Linked DNA regions of Mytilus edulis. Each later gene encodes a partner of the first gene's protein in a complex. Links are inferred from orthologs where the notes say so. Each region holds a gene or a part of one and is shown in the gene's direction. Other genes may lie near its edges. The genes, in order: dynein regulatory complex subunit 4-like, dynein regulatory complex protein 10-like, dynein regulatory complex protein 9-like and F-box and leucine-rich repeat protein 13-like.

What was found.
Region 2: dynein regulatory complex subunit 4-like (region 1) and dynein regulatory complex protein 10-like share a complex: the UniProt entries of both Homo sapiens proteins name them as parts of the nexin-dynein regulatory complex. The link is inferred for Mytilus edulis from reciprocal best matches to the Homo sapiens genes DRC4 and DRC10.
Region 3: dynein regulatory complex subunit 4-like (region 1) and dynein regulatory complex protein 9-like share a complex: the UniProt entries of both Homo sapiens proteins name them as parts of the nexin-dynein regulatory complex. The link is inferred for Mytilus edulis from reciprocal best matches to the Homo sapiens genes DRC4 and DRC9.
Region 4: dynein regulatory complex subunit 4-like (region 1) and F-box and leucine-rich repeat protein 13-like share a complex: the UniProt entries of both Homo sapiens proteins name them as parts of the nexin-dynein regulatory complex. The link is inferred for Mytilus edulis from reciprocal best matches to the Homo sapiens genes DRC4 and FBXL13.

The regions. Positions count from the first base shown.
Region 1 is NC_092348.1:7,363,777-7,371,149, forward strand, and holds the start of dynein regulatory complex subunit 4-like, read left to right. Parts: upstream 1-4,371; 5' UTR 4,372-4,494; coding exon 4,495-4,497; intron 4,498-6,127; coding exon 6,128-6,238; intron 6,239-6,607; coding exon 6,608-6,805; intron 6,806-7,267; coding exon 7,268-7,373. UniProt on the Homo sapiens protein: Component of the nexin-dynein regulatory complex (N-DRC), a key regulator of ciliary/flagellar motility which maintains the alignment and integrity of the distal axoneme and regulates microtubule sliding in motile axonemes.
Region 2 is NC_092349.1:64,492,406-64,499,548, forward strand, and holds the start of dynein regulatory complex protein 10-like, read left to right. Parts: upstream 1-4,115; 5' UTR 4,116-4,244; coding exon 4,245-5,177; intron 5,178-6,010; coding exon 6,011-6,244; intron 6,245-7,143. Other genes in the region: two pore channel protein 1-like, read right to left, coding at 777-907, 1,305-1,418, 1,879-2,249, 3,757-3,817. UniProt on the Homo sapiens protein: Component of the nexin-dynein regulatory complex (N-DRC), a key regulator of ciliary/flagellar motility which maintains the alignment and integrity of the distal axoneme and regulates microtubule sliding in motile axonemes.
Region 3 is NC_092346.1:87,338,847-87,345,993, reverse strand, and holds the start of dynein regulatory complex protein 9-like, read left to right. Parts: upstream 1-4,136; 5' UTR 4,137-4,190; intron 4,191-6,187; 5' UTR 6,188-6,262; coding exon 6,263-6,278; intron 6,279-7,147. UniProt on the Homo sapiens protein: Component of the nexin-dynein regulatory complex (N-DRC), a key regulator of ciliary/flagellar motility which maintains the alignment and integrity of the distal axoneme and regulates microtubule sliding in motile axonemes.
Region 4 is NC_092344.1:89,673,732-89,680,589, reverse strand, and holds the start of F-box and leucine-rich repeat protein 13-like, read left to right. Parts: upstream 1-3,845; 5' UTR 3,846-3,944; coding exon 3,945-4,022; intron 4,023-6,180; coding exon 6,181-6,284; intron 6,285-6,838; coding exon 6,839-6,858. UniProt on the Homo sapiens protein: Substrate-recognition component of the SCF (SKP1-CUL1-F-box protein)-type E3 ubiquitin ligase complex.

The DNA.
Region 1 (7,373 bases):
AAGGGAAAGAGGTCAGGGTAATCTTCTCTAGTCGAGCTTTCGACCGAGTTTGGCATAAAGGCTTACTTTATAAGCTTAGAAAAATAGGAATTAATGGTAACTTGTTACTTTGGTTTGAAAGCTATTTAAACTCAAGAAGGCAACAGGTTGTCATTGGTGGAGAAACGTCCAACAACGAACATGTCTCAGCTGGGGTACCCCAAGGGTCTATCTTGGGTCCTATTTTATTTCTCATTTATGTTAATGACATAATTAATGACATCGAATCTGATATAAAACTTTTTGCTGATGACACCTCAATTTATATAGTGGTTGATATCGAATATGAAGCGGCAGAAATGCTAAATAAAGATATTGAGAAAATACATACTTGGTCTAAACAATGGCTTGTCTATTTCAACCCAAACAAAACAGAAATAATGACCATTTCAAAAAGGCACCATTAACCCCACCACCCGCCAGTGTATATGAATAATAATATAATAAAAGAAGTTGAGTTGCACAAGCATTTAGAGGTTATTATAAATGAAGATGGAAGCTGGAATAACCATGTAAAAATGATTATTAATAAGGCTATTCCTAGATTAGCATTATTCCGAAAGTTAAAGTTTAAATTTAAAAGGAAAAATTTAGAAACTATTTATTGATCTTTCATACGCCCAGTCTTAGAATATGGGGACATTGTCTGGGATAACATACTAAATTAATTAAAAACATCTCTGGAAAACTTACAACTAGAAGCAGCAAGAATCGATACAGGTGGTACTAAGATATCATCGAGACGGTTGCTGTGTACGATGAAACCGGTTGGGAAACTCCAGTCTCGACGTGATAAACATAAGTTATTAAAATTTCATCAAATGTTTCACGGAGATTATCTTTCTGTGTTAGTTCCAAATCAGAGACTAGATCTACACGACCACAGGACTAGGGGTCTTCAAATTTACAAACTGTATTATGCAGAACAAGCTATTATCAAAAGTCATTTCTACCAGCCGTAGTAAACCTTTGGAATAATATTCCACACGACATTCGTCTAAATCAATCAAAATCGGGTTTTAAGACTTATCTCTCTCAAAATAATAATAAAATACCATTGAACTTTCACTTAGGCTGTAGAAGAGAACAGACATGTTAAGCAAGACTAAGACTCCAGAGTAGTGTTCTAAGGGACCATCTATTAAAAAAAATCTAATTGAGAACGCACTGTGTACCTGTGGTCGAGTAGAAACTACCTCTCATTATTTCTTCAAATGTCCAAAATATAATGAAATTCGAAGGGATACTATCGGGACGATCTCCTGTTCTAATCTTAAGATTATCTTATATGGGGACAGTCTAAAAGCTGACGAGGACAATGTGCAAATGTTTCATAAAGTTTCTGAATACACAAATAAAACAAAACGTTTTGAAAGTTAATCTAGTATATGTATATATATATATATTATATATATAGACTTTTTTTTAATATGATGTAAAATCGAGTGGATTGCCCGGCGTAATTGACAGTATAGTGAGTCTATAGTCGGACGTGTGTGTTGGTTCCAGTGACTGTCTGGAAAAGTAAATAAGAGTTGACTGTTTTCGTGTTTTTTTTCCCTTTTTTTCCACATTTTTTTTTTTTCACTTATTTTATTTGTTGTATTTTTTTGCGTGTGTGTGTTGGTATTTATTCATTTTATTATATGCTACCATAAACTGAATATACTGTTGGCACGTAATATTGTTTGTTAAATAGATGGTGTTTTTTTTTAGGGAGACGGATTTATAAAAGTTTTTCCAAACTTGTTTCCGAATCCCATATTTGAACTTTATGTAACATTGTAATATTTATCTTGACATTTTTTATTAATAAATACTGTTTAAACTAACTGTTCAGTTTCTTGTATGTTCCTCTATATTAATTATGGAGCACTACTCATATGGTATAAACTGTAGCAACTTTTTACACATTAAAACACAAGAGGGCATATAAACTTATGAACAGATAAATGAGAAAAGGCAAAACTTTTATTAATTCATAAGATAGTCATTACAATTTTAAACCATAAAATAAAATAATCATTAAAAGTTGTGTAAGATCTGAATATAATAACAAGTAAAAATTTTAAATTAATAGTTTAAATTAGTTTTCAATTTAAATTCAATTGGCTAGTTAAAGGTGCCGTTCTTACATCAGAATTTATAATGAAAAGATTATTTAACTAGAGGCTCTAAAGAGCCTGTGTCGCTCACCTTGGTCTCTGTGAATATTAAAGGAAGCAGATAGATAGATGCATGACAAAATTGTGTTTTGGTGATGGTGATGTGTTTGTACATCTTACTTTACTGAACATTCTTGCTGCTTAAAATCATCTCTATCTATAATGAACTTGGCCCATTAGTTTCAGTGGAAAATGTTAGTAAAAATTTACAAATTTTATGAAAATTGTTAAAAATTGACTATGAAGAACAATAACTCCTAAGGGGTCAATTGACCATTTCGGTCATGTTGACTTATTTGTAAATCTTACTTTGCTGAACATTATTGTTGTTTACAGTTTATCTCTATCAATAATAATATTCAAGATAATGACCAAAAACAGCAAAATTTCCTTAAAACTAACAATTCAGGGTCAGCAACCCAATAACGGGATGTCCGATTCATCTAAAAATTTCCGAGCAGATAAATGTTGACCTGATAAACAATTTTACCCCCATGTCAGATTTGCTCTAAATGCTTTGGGTTTTGAGTTATAAGCCAAAAACTGCATTTTACCCCATGTTCTATTTTTAGCCATGACGGCCATCTTGGTTTGATGGCCGGGTCACCGGACATATTTTCCAAACTAACCCAAAAGATGATTGTGGCCAAGTTTGGATTAATTTGGCCCTGTAGTTTTAGAGGAGAAGATTTTTGTAAAATATTACTAAGATTTACGAAAAATGGTTAAAAATTGACTATAAAGGGCAATAACTCCGAAAGGGGTCAACTGACCATTTCAGTCATGTTGACTTATTTGTAAATCTTACTTTGCTGAACATTATTGCTGTTTACTGTTTATCTCCATCTATAAAAATATTCAAGATAATAACCAAAAAACAGCAAAATTTCCTTAAAATTACTAATTCAGGGGCAGCAACCCAACAACGGGTTATCCGATTCATCTGAAAATTTCAGGGCAGATAGATCTTCACCTGTTTAACAATTCTACCCCATGTCAGATTTGCTCTAAATGCTTTGGTTTTTGAGTTATAAGCCAAAAACTGTATTTTACCCCTATGTTCTATTTTTAGCCATGGTGGCAATCTTGGATGGTTGGCCGGTCACCGGACACATTTTTTAAACTAGTTACCCCAATGATGATTGTGGCCAAGTTTGGTTTAATTTGGCCCAGTAGTTTCAGAGAAGAAGATTTTTGTAAAAGTTAACGACGATGACGACGACGGACGACGGACGACGACGGACGCCGGACGCCAAGTGATGAGAAAAGCTCACTTGGCCTTTTAGGCCAGGTGAGCTAAAAAGGGTGTTATGTAAATGAGTGAAGGTTTGAGCAAATCAACGTATATACATAAGTACCACACGCCATAGTATTACTCTTTAGCAATCACGGACGGCTTAAATACGGAAAATAAAAATAAATCTAGATTACACACCAAGGATTTTGTATTTATTTGTTTAGTTTATTTGCTATAAATCAGTAACAGTGGAATTACCAAAACTTTTATAAGGGGGGGGGGGCTGACTGAACTAAGGTGATTCGCTATATAATCAACCAAATTTTTCACGAAAGGGGTGTCCGGGTAATATTTATTTGAAAAATAATGATTTTAGTTGAAATAATAGGACAAATTTTTTTAGTGGAAACTCACTTTTGTCCACTGACTGTATATCACAGCAAGTTTCTTCTTCCGTCATAATTACTAAGTTCAACTTCTCAACAAGTTCAAGATCCCCAAGAAATCAAGGTCTATGTATGCCGTATAATTTTTGAAATTTTTCAAAGTCTCTCGAGCATGTTTGGGTTGATCTGAGTATAGTAGTCTCAGGGTTGATACGGACCTGAATTGGTACAGACGCTTTTAAGTTATAAACACACAAATATATTGAAAAATTAACAATAACAGAGACACATAACCTGAAAAGATATACGTTATTTTGCGTCTAACGATAAACGGGTGCCGTCGCCAGAAATTAGATACGTGTTTTAGCGTTTTCTTTTTAACAGTTACCTATTTACTTTAGAAAACCAGTATTCTAAAATTTACGTAATTTTTAATATATTTTTCTCTCGAATAAATTTATGATGATAAAACTATTTTTCACTGTCTTTGACATTTCGATTGGTCCAAAAATCAAATAAAACGTACACAGCTAATTATCTCGTTGTCTTGTACGAGATTATGTGTTTATTTACATCCGGGGACCGTCACCTGGACAACAAGTACATCAGAAAGGGGGAACATACATTTAACATTTTGAAAACAAAGAATCCAGGAACATACTGAACAATGGTAGGTTTATGGATGACTCTTAGTGAGATATTCAATCCCTCTTCCTGTCTTACCCGTTTTTTTTTAATTCTACTACACAAAAACGACAAAACAACATGAAATTTAAACATGTTATGCAGTTTTTGTATTTGAAATACACATGATATTCTAAACCAATATTTTGATAAATTGGTTATTTTCCTCTTTTTTAAACTTTTATTACATTATTGTGTATAGTTTATATGGTAGTATGTTATTGACCTGATCATTTATCAAATAATCTGTAAAGAGGATTCATTGCAAATAGATTTATCTTTATCTGCTGACTCAGTGACTGTTCAACCTGTCTACCTATACTATAGTATGTAAATAAAAAGACAACCTGTTGACTTATTTCTCTTTCAAACTGATTGACCGCTTTTTCTTCAGATGGAACTACTATCTGTTTAGTGTAAGAAAATAATTAACTGATTGAAACATTGGTTTTGGTGTCTGACACTTTAATTTCCGAGGCCTAAAACTTTCAAAAATAGAGTAAACCCACGGACTTATTACTACTGATCATGCTTACTATTGAAATTTGCATAGGAAACACCTTCTTCCAGCTTTACCATTTGTGTTGATTTGGAAAGTAGAGGACCATATGATAAGTGTGTAAAAACTGTGGAGTTATTGAATGTATACATGTATGGTATCGGGTCCATTTGCCTTAATAACATGTTCGCCCTAGGTCCGTTTGCCCGTAGAGTCTGTTCGTCCTACTAAAATGATATTCAGGTCATTGAATTCGAAGTTGGTTAAACTTATTTAGATAATTATGTGGTACATATTTTTGAAATTTAGGGAAACGTAAGGAATCATTTAAAAGTTTATGGCTTTTTTAGGATTGATAATTGTTCAATGACATAATAATTCTCACTGATTGTTGTGATACTTGTCTTTTGATGGATTAATAATAAAAACAAACATTTTGTTATGATAAACCAGGAACTTTCTATACTAACTAATTACTAAATTAATACATTGTATTCCAGTATACTATGCAAATCAAAGGGAAAATAATATATATTGGTTGCTGCAATACAAATATTCGGTAAATTTTCAACAAACTTTAACATATTCTGTTCAAATAATTAACATTATGCAACTGGACAACAATTAAAAAAAAAGGTACATGTACGTAGGGCAAACGGACCCTGGGCAAACAGGTATCTGGGCGAACAGGTACTAGGGCGAACGTGAATCAGGGCGGACGGACCCAGATTCAATGTAAGTAATGTATAAAATTTTCAAAGAACTTATTTAAAAGATTTTTTACCCAGAGGATCCACATCACAAAAAGATTTTCAAGGTGTGCTAATTTATAGAAGAATGCAACTCACTTTGAACCCAGAAAATTTAACTATGTATGTGAAAAATGTCTCCACTTCAATACAAGCCATCGTACATATCTAAGTTAAGATATAGACTGAGCTACAGAAGAAATTGTTAACATTACTGGCTATTTAAAATCAATTAATCATCCTGACCCATCTATTAGCATCTCTTGGTCTTTCAGGTCAAGAAATATAGAGCAACAAATCATCAAAATTGACACTTAGTCTTTATGTACCTGATATATCTTTTTTTAAATGAATTTTCATTTTTGCAGCCTCCTAAAAAGAAGAGTGGAAAGAAGGGAAAGAAAGGGAAGAAATCTGGAAAGGCCAAATCACCAACAGTTATAGATGGAATCTCAACAGAAGAAATGTCTAAAGAACAGGTATACATGTAGACTTCTGCTTAAAATAAAGTGTCAGAAGATACCAGGGATATTCAAACTCACAAACACAAATGAAATATCACAGCAAAAAAACAAAGACTGAGCAATATGGACCTATCCAAAAGATGATAAAAGACAACGAAAACACAAACAAATATACTTGCAATATTTTTACCTTGTAGTTGGAATAATTTATATTTTGTTTATCTCTAAATTCTTGAAGATTTTTTTGATTGCAAATTATGTTGCACAAGTTTATAAAATGCAAATTGTTTACATCATGTTAATATTGCAAAATTTTTTGTTTCATTAAAAAGATCAAAATGTTTGACTAGTATCATTACAAAAAGTTAAATGTTTTAATTACAGTTGGAAGAACACATACAAAGATTACGTGAGGAATTGGAACGTGAAAGAGAAGAGAGAAACTACTTCCAATTGGAAAGAGACAAGGTCAACACATTCTGGGAAATCACAAAAAGACAGTTAGAAGAGAAGAAAGCAGAACTTAGAAATAAAGACAGAGAAATGGAGGACTCAGAAGAAAGACATCAGACCGAAATAAAAGTAAATTTAAGAATTGTTTTTCAATCATATTCTTTTAACTATCTTTACATTTCCATGTATGCTTCTTTCATAATTTCCAAAAGCTACTTTGTCATGTTGTAGAAATAAATTGAAATGAAACATTCAAAGTCAGATATTTTGTAAAAATTTTGACAAGATTGCTTTCATTATAACTATTACTGACATAATGTGTTTACAATATTTTCTGAATATCTTTATAAAAGAATGTCTCTTCGTTTGTAAAATAAATGCAAACAGGAATTTCTAAATTTAAACTATCAATAATTATCTTCTTCAAATATTTTGTATTCAAACATGAAAATAAAGTAGAATCTGTTATATGAACATGTAGATTTGTATTATATTTAATTATGACAGAATGAGATTTGATGAGTATGATTTTATCAGTGAAAATCATATCTAAATAAAAATATTTAATGATTTACCATTTTATATTTTCAGGTTTACAAACAAAAAGTGAAGCATTTACTGTATGAACATCAGAAGAATATAACAACAATAAAGTCACAAAATGTATCTGCCCTGAAATTGGCACAAAATGATCAAT
Region 2 (7,143 bases), on another chromosome or scaffold:
CATTTGGGCCATGTGAGCTAATAATATTAGACACAAACTGTAAATTCTGTTGGAATATTTTAAAATATTAAATAATAAAAGCTCTAGATTGAAACGAAAATCCTTGAACTTTATTTATAAAACACTTAGCTAGTACATAATTTTAGTTCAGTTAAAATTTAATTGGAATTTTGAAAATAAGGATAAAATTTAATCAATATTTATTTTAACTGGTTGCTTCCTGTCACTCAGAGAAACTAAAGTAATTTAAATTCTCAAGTGTTTGTTTAAGAGGGAAATTATAAACACTTAAGATTGATGTGAACTCTTTAAAATAACTGTTCTTTAGGAAGATCTAGAAGGAAAAGAAAACTCTATTTTAATCCATTTCCATAATTATGTTTGAATCTGTGAAACAGTGAAATATAAATGCATTCTTAAAAACAAGTTATATGATTGTAATAAAATTGAGAATGGAAATGGGGAATGTGTCAAAGAGACAACAACCCGACCAAATAAAAAACAACAGCAGAGGGTCACCAACAGGTCTTCAATGTAGTGAGAAGTCAGTTTGTGTCTAAAACCTGAACTCTGATTGATGTAAAACTTAAATTTACACAATGTGTCAAACCAGTGAACCATGAAATATGGGTACCTTGACCATAATAGAGTATTGTTCTCCCCAAAATTCCATAGCACACAATATTATACTGCTGTATATTCAATGACCCCTCTATCAGCATGATTACAAATAATCGCTTCAACAATATGGTAAAATTTAATATTAACAAACATACCTTCTGACCCCTCTGCAGTAGTATGTATCTATGAGAAACAATGGCCTCAGTGATCTTGTGACTCTAAAATGGTTATGCTGTCGTATTATCACAACTATAGTCTCTATAAATACGATGATCAAAGTACAACTCTGAAAAATAATTTTATTACTAACTTTCAGTTAAATTTGCACTATCATTAAAACAAGAATGTGTCCATATTACACAGATGCCCCACTCGCATTATCCTTTTCTATGTTCAGTGGACCTTGAAATTTTGCATCAATCTTACTTTAATTTTGCATTAAAATTAGAAAGATCATATCATAGGGTACAGGTATACTTAGTTTCAAGTTGATTGGACTTCAACTTCTTTAAAAACTACGTATATCTTGACCAAAAACTTTAACCTGAAGCAGGACAAACAAACGAAAGGAGTAACAAACGAACAGACGCACACACAGAAAAACTGGGGCATAAAAATAATCATTTGTCTATAAATAAGTATTTCTATTGATACAAAAAAAAATCATTAATTAATCTACATACCTTTATAAGAGTTCTTTTATGTTTGATGAATGTTCTGAATCCTAGCCACTTCATGCGTATTCCTAATTCTAACGCTAATATCAAAAGCCCAAACAATTCCAGTGATCCATGAACCTGTAAAATACATCTAATACAAGAACACATTTTATACCTGACTTAACTGTACATTTTCCAGGAGCCATAATCTATGTTATTGTTGGACAAAGGTATTTCATAAATTAAATTGAGAAAACTAATAAATGGCTTTATATATACATGTATGTTTATGCTTGCTTTCTGCTTATTCAGTCTGATTTTCATGATTCTGTCATGATTTGAATTATTTATGGTTAAAAGTTGATATCTGACCACTTACAATATTTTTTTAAAGAATAAGACTAGCACATCTTACAAAGGCAATGAAAAACATACAATGAAAATGATACTGTATTTTCCTTCCCTTCATAAAAGACTCAGTTTAAATTTGCTGGAAATTTTTATAATCAAAAGACTTGAGCTTTCGGAAAATGCTTGTTGAATTTACCAGTCAATAATTAAAAAGACATTGACAATTAACAATTATATGGTAACTTACCCCTACAGGGAGAGTTAAAAATGGCACTGCTGGTCGTTCACAGGCAGCTAATCCCATTACCAGCAGTGCTGCAAATAAGTCTAAAGCATAGAAAATTTTCTTGTGAGCAATTTTATATGCTGGCAATGCATTAAAGTCTCTGGGATGTGTACTATATTTATCATTGTTTTCCCCTTCCTGCAGATATATAGCTGCCTCTTGGTAATTCAGTTCCCAAGTTTTATACTGTTTATGTCGTCTAGTGATGGCATGGTATGGAGTGCCCTGGCCCTCCAAAATCTGATGGTTAGATCCAAAACCATTGTTTACATCATAAATAGAGTCACCATTACTGTGTATTCTGTTTGATGGAACATCATATTGGTCTTCATCTGAAATAGACATTAAAAACCAAAATAAACAGTGTTCTAGCTACAACCTTTGAAGAGGGCAGCTTCCGCCCTTTTTTATTGACGCCCGTTCCTTTTTTCTGTTGTTCCTCGGGCATCATACTTTTTATTACTGAACAACGAAGAGCTTTTTACATCTTATTGATATGTATAGTTTTATTTCATTAAAATTGATCAAAGGTTTCTATATATAAACCTGAAACGACCCCAGATGTCGATTCCTGAACAGTTAGCAAATTTAGACACAAAATTCAAGCTTGAGAATGTCTGAATTTGAATTTTGATCATTTTTTTTTTTTTTTACATAATTACGTTTCTGACACAGAAATAGAATTGGTCTGACAAGGATCTTACAAATTTATTGTGCAACCCTGTGCAATTGAAGATTTCTTGTTGAAACTTTTCAAAAAATTTAAAATTTGAAAAATTTTGAAAAAAATTTGAACTACATGTAAAAAAAATAGAGAACCCCCCCCCCTCTATCTTTTCGAATTCACAATGGTGCAATTACCCCCAAACTCAATCCTAGCCTTTCCTTTGTAGTATGGAACCTTGTAGTACAATTTCAAAGAGATCCATTCACTTAAACACAAGTTATTGCCTGGATTTAACTACAAAAATACTTGTTTTTGGCCCTTAGGTTTATAAACTGTTGGCACCAAAACCGTGCAAAATAAATTCCAGCCTTCTACTTGTGGTATTAAACATTGTGGTACAATTTCAGAGCAATCAAAATATTTAATACACTAGAAATTATTTTGAAACTAGAAAAATGCTTGTTTTGGGCCCCTTTTATCTATTAAAACGGTTGGGACCATCATCCCCATAATACACCTTATCGCTATTGCTGGAAATCACACAGGTTCCCGTAAAATTTTGACTTCATAAAACAAAATGTCTGACGCCACAATGGAAAAGTGATTGTTGTTGACGTCAAAAGTTCAAGCGGACGGGTCAGCCGGGAATAGCGATAAGGTGTATAAATCCTAACCTTCCTTTTTGTGGATTTGAACCTTCTGAATACATTTCATACAGATCTATTCACTTAAACTAAAGTTATTGTCTGGAAACCAAATTAATGTGTCTTAGGAAACGACACTGACATCAGGGCATCAAACTACCCAATAAAAACACACCCTGCAATAATTGAATCTTACCTGCCAAATCAATTTTCTCAAAATTTTGTAAATTTGCTTTCATGCTTAAGCATTAGTGACTAGTGTGGTATATTGTGACAGTTGACAGGCTGTGCGTCTCTTTCTTTGGATCATGGAAGTGACTGTGTATTTTCAAACTTGTCAGGTTTTATTTATCACTGGTTCATTTGGACTAATTTAACCCTTGTTATCTACTCAAAAATAAACTATTATCTCACTGACTTTCCGCAACACTATTTTTTCAATGTAGCAATTAAAATGCAATGTCACTAGCCAGTATAAATAGTCAATCTTAAGTGTTTCAAAAAGAGATGCACATTAATAATAAATACCTGAGGGTGAAAATCCATTTTCATTTCTGATTAATAGGGGACTTTCAATATTACCCGCCATATTGTTTTCATTTTTGATAATCAAGGATAAGTATAGAGGATTGCGAATGTATCATGTGTATTCTAAAAATATTCCGAACAAAGGTTATTTCCGCTTAAAAGTAGTTCCATGACAACTTAATAAAATCATGAGCAACATTTTTTGCTTTATTCCCTTAGGAGACTAATATCTTCTTTTTTTTTCTTTTTTTTAAAACTGTATTTTTCATTTCATCGAACTATTTTGTAGATTTATGCTATTCAAAAAAGAGAGACACAGAAATTGTAGAAGTACTATTTGTTGCTAGGGAATGCGTATTAAACAAATTCAATGTAATGCGGCTGCAAGACCGATAAACAGTGAATTGGTAATGTTGACGATGTAAATTAGGAATTATATACATATAAGCCTATTGTAAACGTTGTTATCGCCGTTATATTGTGCGAAAATGGCCACCACAGCAATGCGAACACAGACATTAACAGGTTCAATTGCCACAGAGCCAATTTTAAACATGAAACTAACAGTTCCCGTACCCCCTCAAAAAGGAGGACCAGGGAAAATAAGAAACAGACTCCGTTTAGATCCAGCGAGGGCATTAGAACCTGCAAGAAAAAAAATAGCCACAGTTGAAGCACAGCGTGTTATGTCAGTATTTGAGGACACAATACAAAGAATAGAAATTTCCTCAATGATCCCATACATTCTTGAAAATTTGGACAGATTTCGAATAAGCTTTGGGGTAGAACTTTGCAGCTTGCTAGAGAACCACAGTATTATAATCGGTAGTTACAATGAGATCAAAGAACAGCTTGATAGGCAAATGCAAAGGAATAGAATACGATCAGCCAGTTCTGTCAGAAGTGATGCATCACAAGAGCAACAAAATGATATGAATGAAACTCAACCTACTGCTGAAGATGACGAAGATGAAGATTCCGTTTATGGAGGCCAAAGTCCCCCACAGAGTCCTGTTAATAAGCCTCCATCTAGAGGTAGTAGTGCTAGCAGTCGAAGATCTAATCCTTCTGTTGCTAGTTTTGACAGCCAAACAGAACGTACAATGCGGAATTTGAGTCTGGTAGCTCAGCAACTTAGTTCCTCATGCAAAAACATTCTCAGACAATTTCAAATAAATGGTAGTGCATTTAATTCTGTTAAGACCCACTTTCATGCACGACCTAAAGAGAGTACCCAGCTTTTATCTTACATGAATGATTTGAGAGATATCTTACTGAATAAACTGTTAACAACACCTGAGGAAGAAAAAGAGAGAATGGCTTACATCCAGGAAGTTTCAGAAAGAGAGAGAAACAATGCTACTATCATTGCAAAGATGGAAGAAGAACTTGATGCTGCAGTTGCTGATAAGGAAGAAGAGGTATAATATTTAGATGGATTTAAAAATACTTGGCAAATTTTTTGACTCCAACATGTCAGTCTACATGCATCATGTTTATTGATACATTGTGGATGATATGCATTTATTAAGAGCACTGAATTATTGTATTTCAAATCATACTGGCATTCTCAATGATAAAATGTTCTCCATTTTTAGTTATAAAGTTACAGAAGTTGAATTTTTTTTAAGATTCTTGAATCAATATTTTAAACTCAAAAACATGTAAAACTATATATAATCAAACATGTCTCATAAAATTTAAAAAGAATACTATAATTTGCCTCACTTGGTTTACAATGATGTCTAACTTTTGCAAAGAGAACCTTTATTGTAAAAGAGAAACATTTTAAAATTTTAATGACTTTCAACTACAGATACATGTATATGTTGCCACCACAAAATTGTGTGAATAAATTAGCAATATATACTCACAATCATCATGTACATGTAGCACAAACAGCAGAAACAAATTATTGTAGTCTGTAAAAGAGTTATTGTCAACAGTAATAGTTATACAGAAAATTATAGAAGATATGATGACAATACACATAATTAACAGCGCCTAGTGATGTTTATAGTCTGACCAGTTTGTGTTATAGTAATAGGGGTTGGCAAGAAGTTCTATTTATTGCACATCACATTATTTTATTTAAGTTCAAAATGTATACATGTATGTATGAATTTAAACACATTATAATAATATAAATTGTATAATGATATGACACATTATTTCATATCATACATGTCATAGATACCAGCTAGATTATTTCTTTTAAACATGTGTGTATAAAGATTCTTTCTTTCTTTTATAGATGAAGAAGAAAAATGATGTAATAAAAAAGCTACAGACAGAGTTACAACAGATTATAAACTTTTCCAAAGAAAATATAGGAAGGATTAAGAATGAACAGGACAAACAAGAATCAGCTGATAAAAAGAACCATGAAGGCAAAGTACAAAGGCTGCAGAATGAAATAGTACAACTTAAAACCCAGCTTCAAAACCTTGTATTGGAGCATAGAGAAAAGGAACAAGATCTAAGAAGGGTAAGATACATTTTGATGCTGTAAATATCTCAAATACATACATGTAGCATTAGTATAATATATACAATGCTATTTACGAGTTAGCATATTTAAACGACGAATCCGCAGGATGAGTTCTATACATGTAAATATGTTAATGAGTAAGGCGTGGTGTATATGTTTTGTAACATCATTCAAAAGTGGCCTGGTGATTTTTTATCCAATAAAAACCCAGTGGGAATGTTGTTCCAGCCCCCTGCTTAACGTGTGCACGTGAAAATCAATCCAGTCAATTTTTTCGAAAATCAGCCGGTTCATTCAGAACAGAGTCGTAACAAAGAGGCAGGGTTTAAATCATGGTTTAACATGAAAAATATCAGATTAAACCATAGTCTAAACTCCACCTATCTACATGAAGTTGCAAGCACAAAGTATGTCATGACTTTTTTTAATGGAATAACATATCAATCTTTCTATAATAACCATGGTTTTTCAGAAACCGAACTATTAAGCAGAATATCACGTAAAAACTTCAAAGGAAAAATGCCATATTATGTTACAAGATATATATAAATCTTGTTGAACAAAGTCAAAATAATTCTATTGTAGTATTAATAATATAATAACTGGCCTATAAAAATAACCAATACAATGACATTTATCATTTCAAACTGCTATTTATTCAATTTTTTGGTACCAAATTCAAAGATGACATTAGCATGATTATGCATACATTGAATTTAGCTGAATTTATCATTGAAAAATTTACATATATTCAGATTTCACATGATGTTGAATTCTGATTTAAAAATATTAAGATTGGGTATATGATTACTGTGTACATGTACTTAAAATGTATAATTATGAGACAATTACAATCCGTTCGAAAACAAAGATAGTGGATGTAAACAAAGGCCACT
Region 3 (7,147 bases), on another chromosome or scaffold:
TCATTAGTTTGTGGGTTAAGTTTAAATCGTAATTAAGGTGTGTTCCGGTTACCGCCGGTTAAAAATAAATATATTTGATAAAAATAAATACTGTGAAGTTTCGAGTAATCTATATAGTTAAGGTACTGGATAATCCTGGAAAGTATAAATTTCCAGTTTAAAATACGAAAATTAATCGAACAAGTACCAACATCAACAAAATACAGCAGAAGAAAACAGAGATCTCACTTCGTTGTGTAGCTATCTATATAATGTTGGTTAATATCTTTTTAATTGTGAATATAAAAACTTCATGTCTACCCGCAATTGAAAGACCTTTCCGATCATATAAAGCCATGGTCAGTATTTTATCATTTGAACATGTATGACTATGCCAATATATATACTAGCCAAGATTTAAAAAAAGTCTTATGACCCGAGTATTGTTTTCTCACAAGGACAAATCTTAAAGTTATCAACTTCTACTGTAAATCTAATACTTTATATATGCACTTAAAAAAAACAAGGTTTAATGTCTATACCAAAAACGTAAACTGAAACTGAATTCAGTGATGTATATTTGGCAGTCAGGATATTTCATATATAGTTATATACGTAAAGCCTTATTTAACATGGTCCATCGATGCCAATTTGCAATCCAACACATTGTATGTGCTAAAATTTTATTTTGCACTCTTTGCTTTTACATTCGATAAGATGTGACGAATCATCCGATTTACACGAACAATATATCTCACTTTCAAAATGTGAGGACAAAAATCATCGGGTATATTATCTGTCTCAAATTCATCCATTGTCAAAGTGTTTGTTTGGAATTAATGATTGTATGTCTCGTTCTATTCATCTACACACGTGTGTATAAACTGTTTCCTTAGGATTTATGACAACATCCGCTTTCTTCTTGTATTTCCGTACCCCGGAAACGACCGACACATGACTTTATCGCAATGTGCCACACACTGGTGTATTAATATAGTGCCATGTTTCAAGTTAATTAACATGTCATTAAATGGTACGCGGCATCGCAGATGAACCGTTTGAAGTCGGGTCGTAGTAGTTCCTGTAGGTATGGCAAACCAATGGGAGATAACTCCAAATTACCCTAAATAATTGTACCCAGATGTGTGTAAAAATAAAATCTTTGGGTGACCTCCAATTACGGTCTTTTATTAACTTGTTAAGTCTCAGAAGGTTCTGATTGCTTTTGATAGATATTATATGAATATTCATGATTCTGTATATTATAATTTTCGGGAATATGATGAAATATTTGAGGTACAAACAAGGGTTTGAAAGTTACATTTGTTTCAAAAAAATACAAGGGAACTTTATACAGCCATAAAATGTACTTTTTTATTAAGTTTAATATATTAATTAAATAATAAGGTCCAAAAAATAAATCTAGATAGCTGTGTTCATATCAAAATTATTTTTTATAAATTACCCTCCTTTTTGTGTATACAGAGTTATTTCCCTTGCATGGACAATTTTTGGTTAAGTTTTGATTGGAATTCAGCGGTGATAGTTTTTTTTTTTGCATTATACAGCCAGTTTATTGCCATTTAACGATAGTTTAACCACTTGCCATTGCACACGAGGTAGTAAGGATACTGAATAATGTGGTTTAACAACAATCAATATACATGACTGTATGTATTTTCAACATGTTCAACTAAAAACATACATAGGAATCCATGCAGTAGCGGCAGTTCAATTCGAATGCTATTCACATTTAATGCATTTCGAACTTCAGTCCTGAATAAAATTGGTTTACAGATTTCACTGTATAAGTATTGTAACTGATATACAGATATGAACATGATGAATTTACTTTACTTTTATACATACAGGTATTTACAGTACATAATCTGACATAATTATTTTCTTTGAAATTTCTCAAAATAAAAATAATGTTTTTATTTTAGTCATGTAGAATAATTGTTAGAAGGTTGTTGTTTATTTTTATTTATAAGCATTCACTATACATGCCATATAAGATTAAGATATATTAATTAAATAGAATGTTAATGAAAAGGGAACATTCTAAAACTATCACATGTATCATGACTATACAAAACTTTTCTTGTCTCTCATGGTACAACTGATTTTTATAGTTCATTCTTATGTTGTACTGTCACAGGTCAGGGGGAGGATTGGGCGTCCGCTAACATGTCTTCTGACATCAGACTCGGACTTCTCTTGAATTGAATTTTAAATGTACGTATTGTTATGCGTTTACTTTTCTACATTGGCTAGAGGTATAGGGGGAGGGTTGAGATCTCATAAACATGTTTAACCCCGCCACATTTTTGCGTCTGTCCCAAGTAAGGAACCTCTGGTCTTTGTTAGTCTTGTATTATTTTAATTTTAGTTTCTTGTGTACAATTTGGATATTAGTATGGCGTTCATTATCACTGAACTGGTGTATATTTGTTTAGGGGCCAGCTGAAGGACGCCTCCGGGTGTGGGATTTTCTCGTTGCATTGAAGACCTGTTGGTGACCTTCTGCTGTTGTTTTTTCAGTGGCCGGGTTGTTGTCTCTTTGATACATTCCCCATTTCCATTCTCAATTTTATTAACACCGCCACATTCTGTATGTATGTGCCTGTTCAAAGTCAGGAGCCTGTAATTCAGTAGTTGTTGTTTGTTTATGTGTTAAATATTTGTTTTTCATTTATTTTTTTTACATAAGTTAGGCTGTTAGTTTTCTCATTTGAATTGTTTTACATTTGTCATTTCGGGGCCATTTATAGCTGATATGCGGTATGGGCTTTGCTCATTGTTGAAGGCTGTACGGTGACCTATAGTTGTTAATTTCTGTGTCATTTGGTCTCTTGTGGAGAGTCATGTCTCAGATGGCAATCATACCACATCTTTTTTTATAGTCACACACACTAACATACATTTGTATATAAAGAGTAATATTCATATTTATATTTTGTTTCTTTACATTCAAATGTTTATAAAGTTTTACTTTACATTTTCAATATACCTGATGCTCTGAAAAAAGGAATATGTAAAGGTATCGTCATGTTATGTGACTTTGGACGATACAATTTCATGAGAGTGGTCGACATTTTCATGCTTTATGCTTCTATTTTGACCAAAAACCTGAATATGGAGGATTGAAATTGACTAACAAGATGTAAAAGAAGCAATATAAACAAAACTATAACCCAAATGATTAAAAAAATATATTTTATTATTTTTTAAAGAGAGGAAACAGTTTTTCCAGAATAGTAAAAAATTTTCGTTTTGAAAAGTTGCAATTTCTTCGTTGTTATTATGTGTATAGATAAAAGTGAAACTGTTTTGAAAATGTCTTCACAATGCCTTTTAAATGAGGTAAAGTTTTCTAAGATCGGTTGATTTAAAAAAAATCACTTTCCGTACCTAGTTCCTGTCAATATAATACTTCCATGGTAAAACTAAATATTATTATACAAGTGAAGAGTGGCAAAAGATACCAGAGGGATATTCAAACTTATTGAGAACAAACTGAAAAACTCATGGCTAAAAAAGAAATAAACAAATAATACTTAACAAGAAACAACATTAAGAACATAGAAAACGACTTAGAAACAACACCACAAAAAACAGGGTGCTCTGAACATTGATTTCAATACTATTCTTAAGCGATTGTCCATACCAAATTATACTAATCAAGTGTAACAGGTGCGATATATATATATACACGTTGTTGGTACTATCATCAACATTTTTAGCACATATTTATCTTTTTTTTAAATGAATCTTGGAATATGCGACAATGCAAACTGTCGCAAAAAGAGGAATAATAGTTTGTTCTCTACGAAGATCTTCCTTTTTACATTATGGGGAATATCAGTCAAGTTGTCATTGATTTAAAGAAAAATATCGTGAAGATCTATAGTAAATAATCCTTGTTAAGACCTTAAATCTGCGTATATCAGTCGTTTGAAGCCCCATCCGTTTATTCTAGTATGAACAATGACTTATGTATAAAATAAAATTTAAGTTTGCTTTAATAAATATAAATTATTATTTAAGGAAAGCATTATTTTGTCATCATAAACATATATTTTCATCATGCAGACCTGCTGAAAATTGAAAAAGGAAACGGAAGTTGATTTTTTTCTTAACTTCCGGTTTCGGCGCATGCCACCTAGCAACATGTAAACATAATGTTATGCCAGTTTCAGTAAAAAAAAAGGTATTTTATGGCATTATTAATGAGATAAGGGAAGCAAAAATTCACAAATTGCATGGCAAATATCTCAAGATATATATGAATCACTAAAATGTCATTATTACAAGTAGTTTTACACGATATCGTGCTGTGCAGAGTGGTTAAGGCAATATGATCATATGGCAATGATAAAGTATTTTAAGCATGTTATTATTGTTAAAGTTCCAGATGCCAGAGACAAATTATTTCATCAAATATACTTCATAACAGGACAAATTCCAACAGATCTAGACAATTTATTAACAATCAATTTGCCAAATGCAGAAAATATCAATCAACTATTAGCGGAGTACATAGAGGAAACAAACCGTTTTAGTGGATAATTTGATACAAATTTCTTTAAATTTTTTATATTTTTAATTTTTCATGCCATTTCAATAACCTAATAAACCATTTTTTAGATTTATTTCACTTCATACAATAATTCTATAATATTTTTAAAGCGCCACCTACAATATATAAGTACAAAGGAGAAACTACATTTGTGATAATTATTTTACAAGAGAGGATAATTTACAAGAGAGATTACTCTGTCATCACGACAAAGATTGAAGATAAAGTTCCTGTGTTGTCTGTGAAATTAATATTGACCACACTTTTATTCATACATGTATAGAACAACAGCAGATTTGAAAAATTATAATAACTTATTTTCTTTTGTTTGTAATTTTCTGTATTCTGTTGCACAGACACTTGTCTCAGAAAAAAAAATGCTATATACCCTTATATAACACAAGGTATTTAACTCGCATTTTTTAAACATGTCAGAATGTCACGAAATTCCGTCATATACCTATTTCACAGTTGTTAACCCCACTAAAACTTGTAATTTCGTAAATCTAAATTGATTTATCTACACAATGGTGTACATTATATCACACCTACTTTTGTTGTCAGAATCATCCGTAGCAATCCTACCAAAGTATGTCAATCGTTATTATTTTGTCTACCGACTACAAGTGCCTGTGTTCTGTTGTCAATGTCGCTGTTGACACTGGATTGTTTCCCTTGTAAACGTTAAAGTCTCGCGTGTACAATTTCACTCCAGATGGTAAACAACTCACATGTACTTTAGATATATAACTTATACATGTAGGTGGCAACTGAACTTAATATATTTTGACAAAAAATTTAATTGTAATTTTTGATTTGTAACCGGAGGGCATGAATTAAACAATTTTATTACAAAATTGCTTAGTTTCATACCTGGGATATGAGCCCTCTGAGTCAGGAATATGACAGTTCTTGTCCATTCGTTTTTGATGTGTTTTGTCATTTGATTTTGCCATGTGATTATGGACTTTCCGATTAGATTTTCCTCTGAGTTCAGTATTTTTGTGATTTTACTTTTTATAAGGCAGCACACTAACTTAATGAGCTTGAACTTCCTTAGCTCAATCGCTTACAGCTGACTAAGTATCTAACCACATTTACCAAGGGAAGCAATTCACCCGTCAAAGATTTATTCTGATGCTAGAGTTTTGCTGATTTTGAGTGCTAATAGTTTTTGCTATTTTAGTGCTTGCATTAGCCTTAACTTAACTCTATATGATTTTATGCTAAACTAATTCTTTTATTTGACAATTGTGTATGTTTAAAACTATTGTGTGTTTTGTGTTGTCCTATTGTGTCTGAATGCACTGTATATGTACTTTAATTGATTATCACTTTATGTATGTCTGTAATAAGCTTGCTCTGAGCTTATGTTGTATTGTTGACTGCTAAACAATTCATTTCAAGTTGAATTCGTTCTAAACCTATTTGTCTAAGATTTAATCAATTCATTCCAACTGATTTTGTTCATTATTACCCACAGGGACTTAATAATTTGTTCCTACTTTTTTAAATCAGTGTACAGTGTGAGTTGAAGTAAATATCAATTCAAAGTTTATGTTATATATATTTCATATAAAACTTATTTGAATAATTCAATTGATTTGATTGTAATATTTATTTTTAGGAATTGTTGAGAAAGAGACACTTAGTTTTGCTGTCCACATACTTGTAGAGTGAAGAAAAAAGACAAAGCCAAAGATGTCATTAACACAAAGTAATAACTTTTAAATTGTGTATCACTATTCATTTACGTATCTCATTCTGAAGCCCCATGCTATATTTGTTGTAAACTATATATAGGTATACAGGTAAACCTCAAGACTAACTTGTCATGAATCTTGGTCCATTCTCCCAATGTCACATTTGCCTCCATTCGTTTTTGAATCCCACAACTTTGCACCCTGCGTTCATTTTCACCATTATTAAAGGTTTCCTTTTCAGTTATTTTTAAATTGTATTTTAGTAACCATAGTAACTGTAAGTAAATCTTACGTAATATTACGTAAATGTATAAGCATACCATGACATGTTGCTACTTAAAAACAAATTTTCAAATCAATTTTTGTCGAGCCTGCAACTTTTGTTGCAGAAAGCTCGACATAGTGATAGTGATGTGGCGGCGGCGTTACTTAACTTCTTAAAAGCTTTATATTTTAAAAGGTAGAAGACCTGGATGCTTCATACTTTGTATATAGATGCCTCATGTTACGAACTTTCCGTCATTCACATGTCCAATGTCCTTGACCTCATTTTCATGGTTCAGTGACTACTTGAAAAAAAAGTTAAGATTTTTTGTAATGTTAAATTCTCTCTTATTATAAGTAATTGGATAACTATATTTGGTATGTGCGTACCTTGCAAGGTCCTCATGCCCATCAGACAGTTTTCACTTGTCCTCGAACTCATTTCATGGATCAGTGAACAAGTATAAAAAAGAAGATGTGGTATGATTGCCAATGAGACAACTATTCACAAAAGACCAAAATGACACAGACATTAACAACTATAGGTCACCTTATAGGTTTTTCTTATACTATATGCAATAGGTCTACTATATTTGGTGTATGGAATGATTGTAAGGTG
Region 4 (6,858 bases), on another chromosome or scaffold:
CTGGCCTGATCATTGAACTCAAATAAAGATAAAAAAAAAAAGGGTTATATCGTTGGTAGCATTACCATTTTCTTTATCGTAGATATATTCATGAAGATAAAAGTTTAAACTACTATACTAACCTTAGTTTTCCTCTGTTTTGTCGTCACCTTGACAAAAAATGAATTTTCTCAGCATGGTTTATGGAAATGATTGTCTCTAATAAATACGTCATTCCACTTTGACCATACTAATATCAGTTATCTAACACACTTGTCCTTCTGTAGTGCATTCCATGACTAGTAAAGCACATCTGATAAGATTAAAGTAATGTGGTATTAGTCATTTTCTTATTTCAATGAATGTTTTCAAACATCTAGAACACTAACATATTTTTGGTAAGTATTTCAGGTTTGAAACTTGGATTAAGATTTGTCCCATTGGCACTCATACCACATCTTATATCTCCTTAAAATGTTAATTGGAAGAATGAAATTTGCAATGAGATTTGTTGCAATTGTTCCTTCATGTCTCTTAAAGTTTAGTTACAGTATGTATAATGGACATAACACGACTTTATAAGATATTTCATGTACACCAGTTCACAAACGTATGTGCTTAAGCTATAACTAAGATTGCCATTCACCCTCTCACTCACAGAGACTTGGTTAGCAGATTAGAATTTTGTTTGTCAATGTTTTTTTCAAATCTTTTTTAGTTTTTCCTGTCTATATATTTGCTAGAAAATATTTATGCTAACGTTAAAAACGTTAATAATGTAATACAAATAGACTAGAAATACAAAAAAAGATTTGGAAAAAAAATGCTAAACAAAATTTTAATCTGCTTACCAAGTCATTGTAATTATAACGAAACTTTTGTCTTGTTTAATTTTTGTTTAAAGCTTTACATACAGGAATAAATCAATAACTATGGTCCAATATTTCAGTGCAAAAATCTTTAAGATTTCATGACATAATATAAATAGTTCATTAAGTTCTTTTTGTTACTAGTACTATAAGTGCTTAGTTCCCATCGCGCTCGGGACTCGAACCCGGGACCTCTGTGTTACAAAGCAGCGCGGCATAACGACTAAGCTAAAGAAGTACTTTCTTAGCTCAACCGCTCACGGCTGACTAAGTCTCTATCACAAGTATTATGCCATCTTTGCATTTATCTTATTAATGCATTTACTAATAAAATCAAATAATATGTGAACAATTAAAATTCCGGGAAAAGTATACAGATATGTATGTATATATATATATATATGTTCAATATGATAAAAAAAAATCTAAGCCAACGTTGGATTCAAAGATCGATGGAAAAATATTTATAATAAAACTTCTTGTACTCTTACGTGAGGGGGGGCAAGGGGTTTAACTGTTATGCTGTTATGGGGCAATTTAATTCTTTGTTATCTGTTATTTTGAAAATGTATTTGCTGTTAGCTGTTATTGTCTTATTCTTTGTTAGCTGTTATTGGGCTTTTAGTTTTTTTGTTATCTGTTATTGTGATAATGTATTTGCTGTTAACTGTTATTGAAAATTGGAATGTTAGCATTTTTTTTGACAGTCAATATTCGGTATAAATTGAAGATCATTGGCCATTGGGGTCTAACACTACTAATATGTTTGTCCTGTATTCAGAGAAGGATTCCATTAACATATACCCATCTCAGAAGTGAGGTCCAGGACAATTCAAGTATATCTTATGATTATCCTTTGTAATAAATTCCATTTTTTTTTTATGAATGTGTATTTAGAATTATCTTAATTTTTTGTATGAGAATAATGTTCCTTGTTTTCCGTACGAACATATTAAATTAAAACAATTCTTAATATGACAAAAAGGAAAACATATGGCTAGGAATATCTGACAAGGATCTCAATTAAGGACTAGGTCCTAACAACCACTTAACCTTTTATATAATATGGTACATAGACACAGCTCTGTAATTCTTTTCAAAGCAGAACCAAATGCATTGTACAATGAAAGTTCCAACCATGTACTTGGGTCCGAAGCTGCACATAACTCATTACAAACAAAGAGTTATTTCGTTTCAAGTTATTGTTTCCCTATTAAACTATGTATTCTACTTACTAGTACATTTGGTACAATCAAAAACCTCAGCTGATAAAAAATTGTTCAAATAAGGCCTTTGAAAATAGTGGAATAAATTGCTTTTAGAGTGTCAAAATTCGTTCAAAGTACTTGATAAATTGCATGCTTATAATTGGTGCTTTTGATTTTTCTACCCTATATACCACTTTGCCTCATAGTTTTATTAAGGAAAATTCACACACCTCATTAAATGGTCATTTAGAAAAAGTCAGAATATTCAAACTCTTTTAGGTCACTTTTTTGATTAGCAACAAAGGGAGCCTCAGTCAATATATATATATAAACAATACACCAATGTTTCATGAGAACTGCTGAAAACGTTTTTGTGTTAATGTCTGAAAACTGGAAAATCACCCCTTTTTAATTAATAAAACCCGTTAACTCGGAAACGTAAAATCTAAAATTTATAAAAATTGAAAGTGACCTCATGTTAATAGATATAAACGATAAATTCACCAAAATTCCTTGCTTTGTGAAAGCATTTTTGAGATATTATCAGAAAACTGAAAAAAAAACACCAATTTTATTGAATAAAAACCCATTACCCAGAAACTTAAAATCTAAAATTTATAGAAAAAAAAAGAAAAAAAAAAAGGGAGCGTCAATAGATATAAACAATTTCCCAAAGTTTAATGCAAATGGTTATAGAGTTTTTGAGTTAATGTCCGACATGTTGACAACAGACGGACAACAGTATACCATAATACGTTCCGTAAACGAGAGTATACAAAATATTATAATATATTGAGTAGTAATTTAAACATATTCTAGATACATAAATTAATACTAAAACATAGTCATAAAAAATGGAATGCATTACAAAGGATTATATCCGTAATAAGAAATACTGATTTGTCAAAGACCGAATTATTTTAATATTTCATTTACTGTTATCTGTTTTTGTCCATTTTAATTCCTTGTTATCTGTTATGAGCCAAATCAATTTGCTGTTTTGCTGTTTTTGGGACCCCCCTTGCCCCCCCCCTCTTACGTGACCACTGTCGGGTTTGGTTAGGAGAGGGTTGTGATCCCGCTAACATCTTCAACCCCGCCACATTCATAATGCAAGTGTCTGTCCCAAGTCAGAAGCCTTTAATTCAGTGGTTGTTTGTTGATGTGTTACATTTTTGTTTTTCGTTTATTTTTTTTACATAAATTAGGCCGTTAGTTTCCTCGTTTAAATTGTTTGCAGTATGGAATTTGCTCATTGTTGAAGGCCGTACGGTAACCTATAGTTGTTAATTTCTATGTCAGTGTCATTTGGTCTCTTGTGTGGAGTTGTCTCATTGGCAATCATACCACATCTTCTTTTTTTTATGATATTGACAACGCCAATGCCCATGCGGCAAAAAAAAAAAAACACAAAAAAAACAAAAAAAAACAAAAAAAACCTGACAAATAATAGTATACAAGACACAACACAGAAAACTAAAGATTGTGCAGCACGATCCCCACCAATAATGTGGGATGATCACAGGTTAAGTGAAAACATTTTTGTTTTAATCTCACTGATTCAATTTTGAAATTCCTGAAACTCTGATTTTGAAAAATAATAATTTTAGTTATTTATGGAAAACTTTTAGTGTGTCCAAGTTTGAATAAGTTCCCCCTCCTAAAAGGATATTGTCTATAATATGTTCCATAATAAGAAGGAAATACATATACATAGAAGATTATTCCACAATTCCTTCCGGAAATTGCAAGGTGCGCTACGCTATTGACTTGAATATTATAATCATTATCCGGGATATTTCGTTGCTACACAAACAACATGGATTCCAAAAATACGATAATTTGATTTATTTTCAGTTCACGCTGCTTGTTATATAAAGTTCCGAAAATGGCTGCATCTATGAAATCCTCTAACCCTGAATTAAAGACTTATCTGCGGTCAAATAAGTTACCAGATGTTTATGAGGTATGCATTTAAAGATGCAATAAATTTGGCTATAACTTCATAAGATCATTTTGTCTTTTATTTGTATTGTTTAAAAAAATGACAGGTGACAAGTATCTTTAATATAAGCAAAATGTCCTGGTCCTGACCATAATGTCAAATCTGACACAACTTGTACTTATAGCATTGTTCCTCACATGGTACAAAATGTACAGTGACGACTGAGACGACTGATGTTATTTATACTTATAGAAAATTTCGTACAGTAATTTATATAGTTTTTTAGATGCAGAATAGAGATACAGGGCTTGCAAGTTCTTGAAATGGTGCTGTACTTCCTATATGTGCTTCTACAATTTGAGACCTATTTTGTAGTTTTATTTATTTGTTGGTGTTTCTACTGATTTTATGATGTTTGGGATGTCAAACAGCATAGCAGGACCCATTATTAAATAGGTTTACTGTGCATATGAGAAACATAGAAAAAAGAAAGCCTGAGATACTTAATTTCACTACCATAAATATACATGGATGTACCAGCGAGATTAGAAACTGCAATATTTGGATCTGCAGGCAGTACGTGCTCTCAATGAGCCAAAGAAGATCTCCAGTATTCTCCACTGACTAGACCAGCTAAATCAGTAAATGTAAACTGTTGACTCCTTTTGTATCTCCAATTATGCATCACACTCCATCCTTTCTTCGTTTTTAACAGCCAATCATATATGAATTCTATTTGCTGCACACCCTTTTGGTGTTGATGGCAGAATTATCTTAGATTGTTTCAGTTCATTGATAACTTTTAAAGACAATAGACCAGCGTCACCGGAAAAAACCTCGTCAATTATGTGTGCCTTTATGACATCATTTACCAGAAAGAGGGGATCGCCTGTATCCCTACTTCATAAACATTCATCAAGCGTCTTAGTGATCATCAGTGTGCATGCAGGATAAACTAAAAATAATGTTTGTTCTTCAGGTACTTAATCGCAATTCCCTAATGGCAGCAGTGCTGAAAGACAATTCTGAGAATTCAATTTGCCGAATAATTCGTGCAATATAGCTTTTTATCCTGCAATTGGGTGTTCTACTATACAGATACAGCCCTACAGATATCGCTATGCTGTATCTGTATACTACATGTATACAAATATCACTTTAAAGCTCCACCCACTGCCGACTGAGTATTGTATGAACCTGCATGACCTCAGAATGTGTATTGCAGTCGCATTCCAATGACGTATCAATTGCGAATTAACGATTACTTTTATACATTCTGTTTGTTTTCACACATTTCTTTAGAGCAATAAAAATGGCACCAGTTTTCTGATAACATACACACATGATGTCTTTTCTAAGATGACAACTATCGATTTCAAAACTTGAATGTGTATGATTGTGTAACAAAAATAACCATGTCAATTTCAGTATGCATGTTTAGCTAATGTCGAATCTGAAGCATAGGACAACTCATACACTCCTGTTTCAAATTGGACAATGTTTTGTTATTTGTTTTTACTGTTGAAATAAGTTGTTATGTTATAATTATTCACCTTGAGCGATGTATTACTGTTGACCATTCAAGATTCTTTTTTTGCGAAACCGTCTTCAGCTGAATGTGTGACTACTGTATCTTATTACTACACGGGCTGAAAGGGATTTCAAATAGAAAATAAATGCAAAACATGTGTTTTTGTGTCTTTCAAAACACAAATTATATACAGAATTAATTGCAGGATAAACTACAATAGCTGTTGAGTGTCTTTAGATATCAGCTGTATTTGTACTCGGCTCGAAACAGGTGTAATAGCTCGCTAAAAGCATGCATACACCTTGTTTCCTAGCCTCCTACAAAAACTGCTGATATTTAAAGACACTAAACAGTTATTGTCTATATAATTTTCCAACCACTCGCTCAACATTAGATGGAAGTGACGACACCCCTAAACGCAAGAAATGCTGTTCACTAAAACCAAAGTTTCTGAGGGAATGCATCAAACTCGAAAGTTGTCTATTAAATGAATTTATAGCATGACATATTATATTATATAAAAACAAAATTACAAATATATTGTACCTCTAGAAGGCTTTTTTTAAATTTGTTGTTGAAGTGCTTTCTTGTTCAATGTTGATATTAAATCATGATTCTTTTTTTACCATTTATCAACTCTTTTTATAGGCACTACTCACTGGACTTGCAATTATGTGTCCTGAAGATCCCTTACAGTTTTTACTGGACAAACTCAAGTTTCTGACTGAAGGTGGTCTGGAAGAACTTAATTGGTATGTATATACATATGTACAATAATGGACAATTTACAACAGATTTTGATTTTGCCTGTCAATCAAGTTATCTTTGCATATTAAAGTCTCCTGTTATTAATCCTAACTGATCTTGACAAAAATTTATGTATTGTGTGTTGCAATGCATAACAGCTGTACTGTCTTTCCATACATGTACAAGTTTTCAAGGTATTAGGTTAGGATTGTCAAATAGATATAAAACTTTATTTGTAGAAAAAGTTTATTTACTTTTACATGTATACATGTTACGATAAGTGGAATGCAGATGAGTCATCTTTTCAATTTGATTTACTGGTAAAATAAATTAATATACAAGTTTGTTGTTTTGGAGGTGTCAGACTGTAATTGTATAAAAGGATAAAAGTAATTAAGACTTTCAATTATAGAAAAAGTTTGTATACTTGAATTGTAAATTAATACATGAAACCATTAGTCCTTAAAAAAAAATATGATGTTTTTGTATAATAATGAAACTAAGGTGGGAAATAATAAACTTTAAGGTAATAAGATTTTATTGATATGTATATTTTCAGGGATATGTTTGTTGATGAAG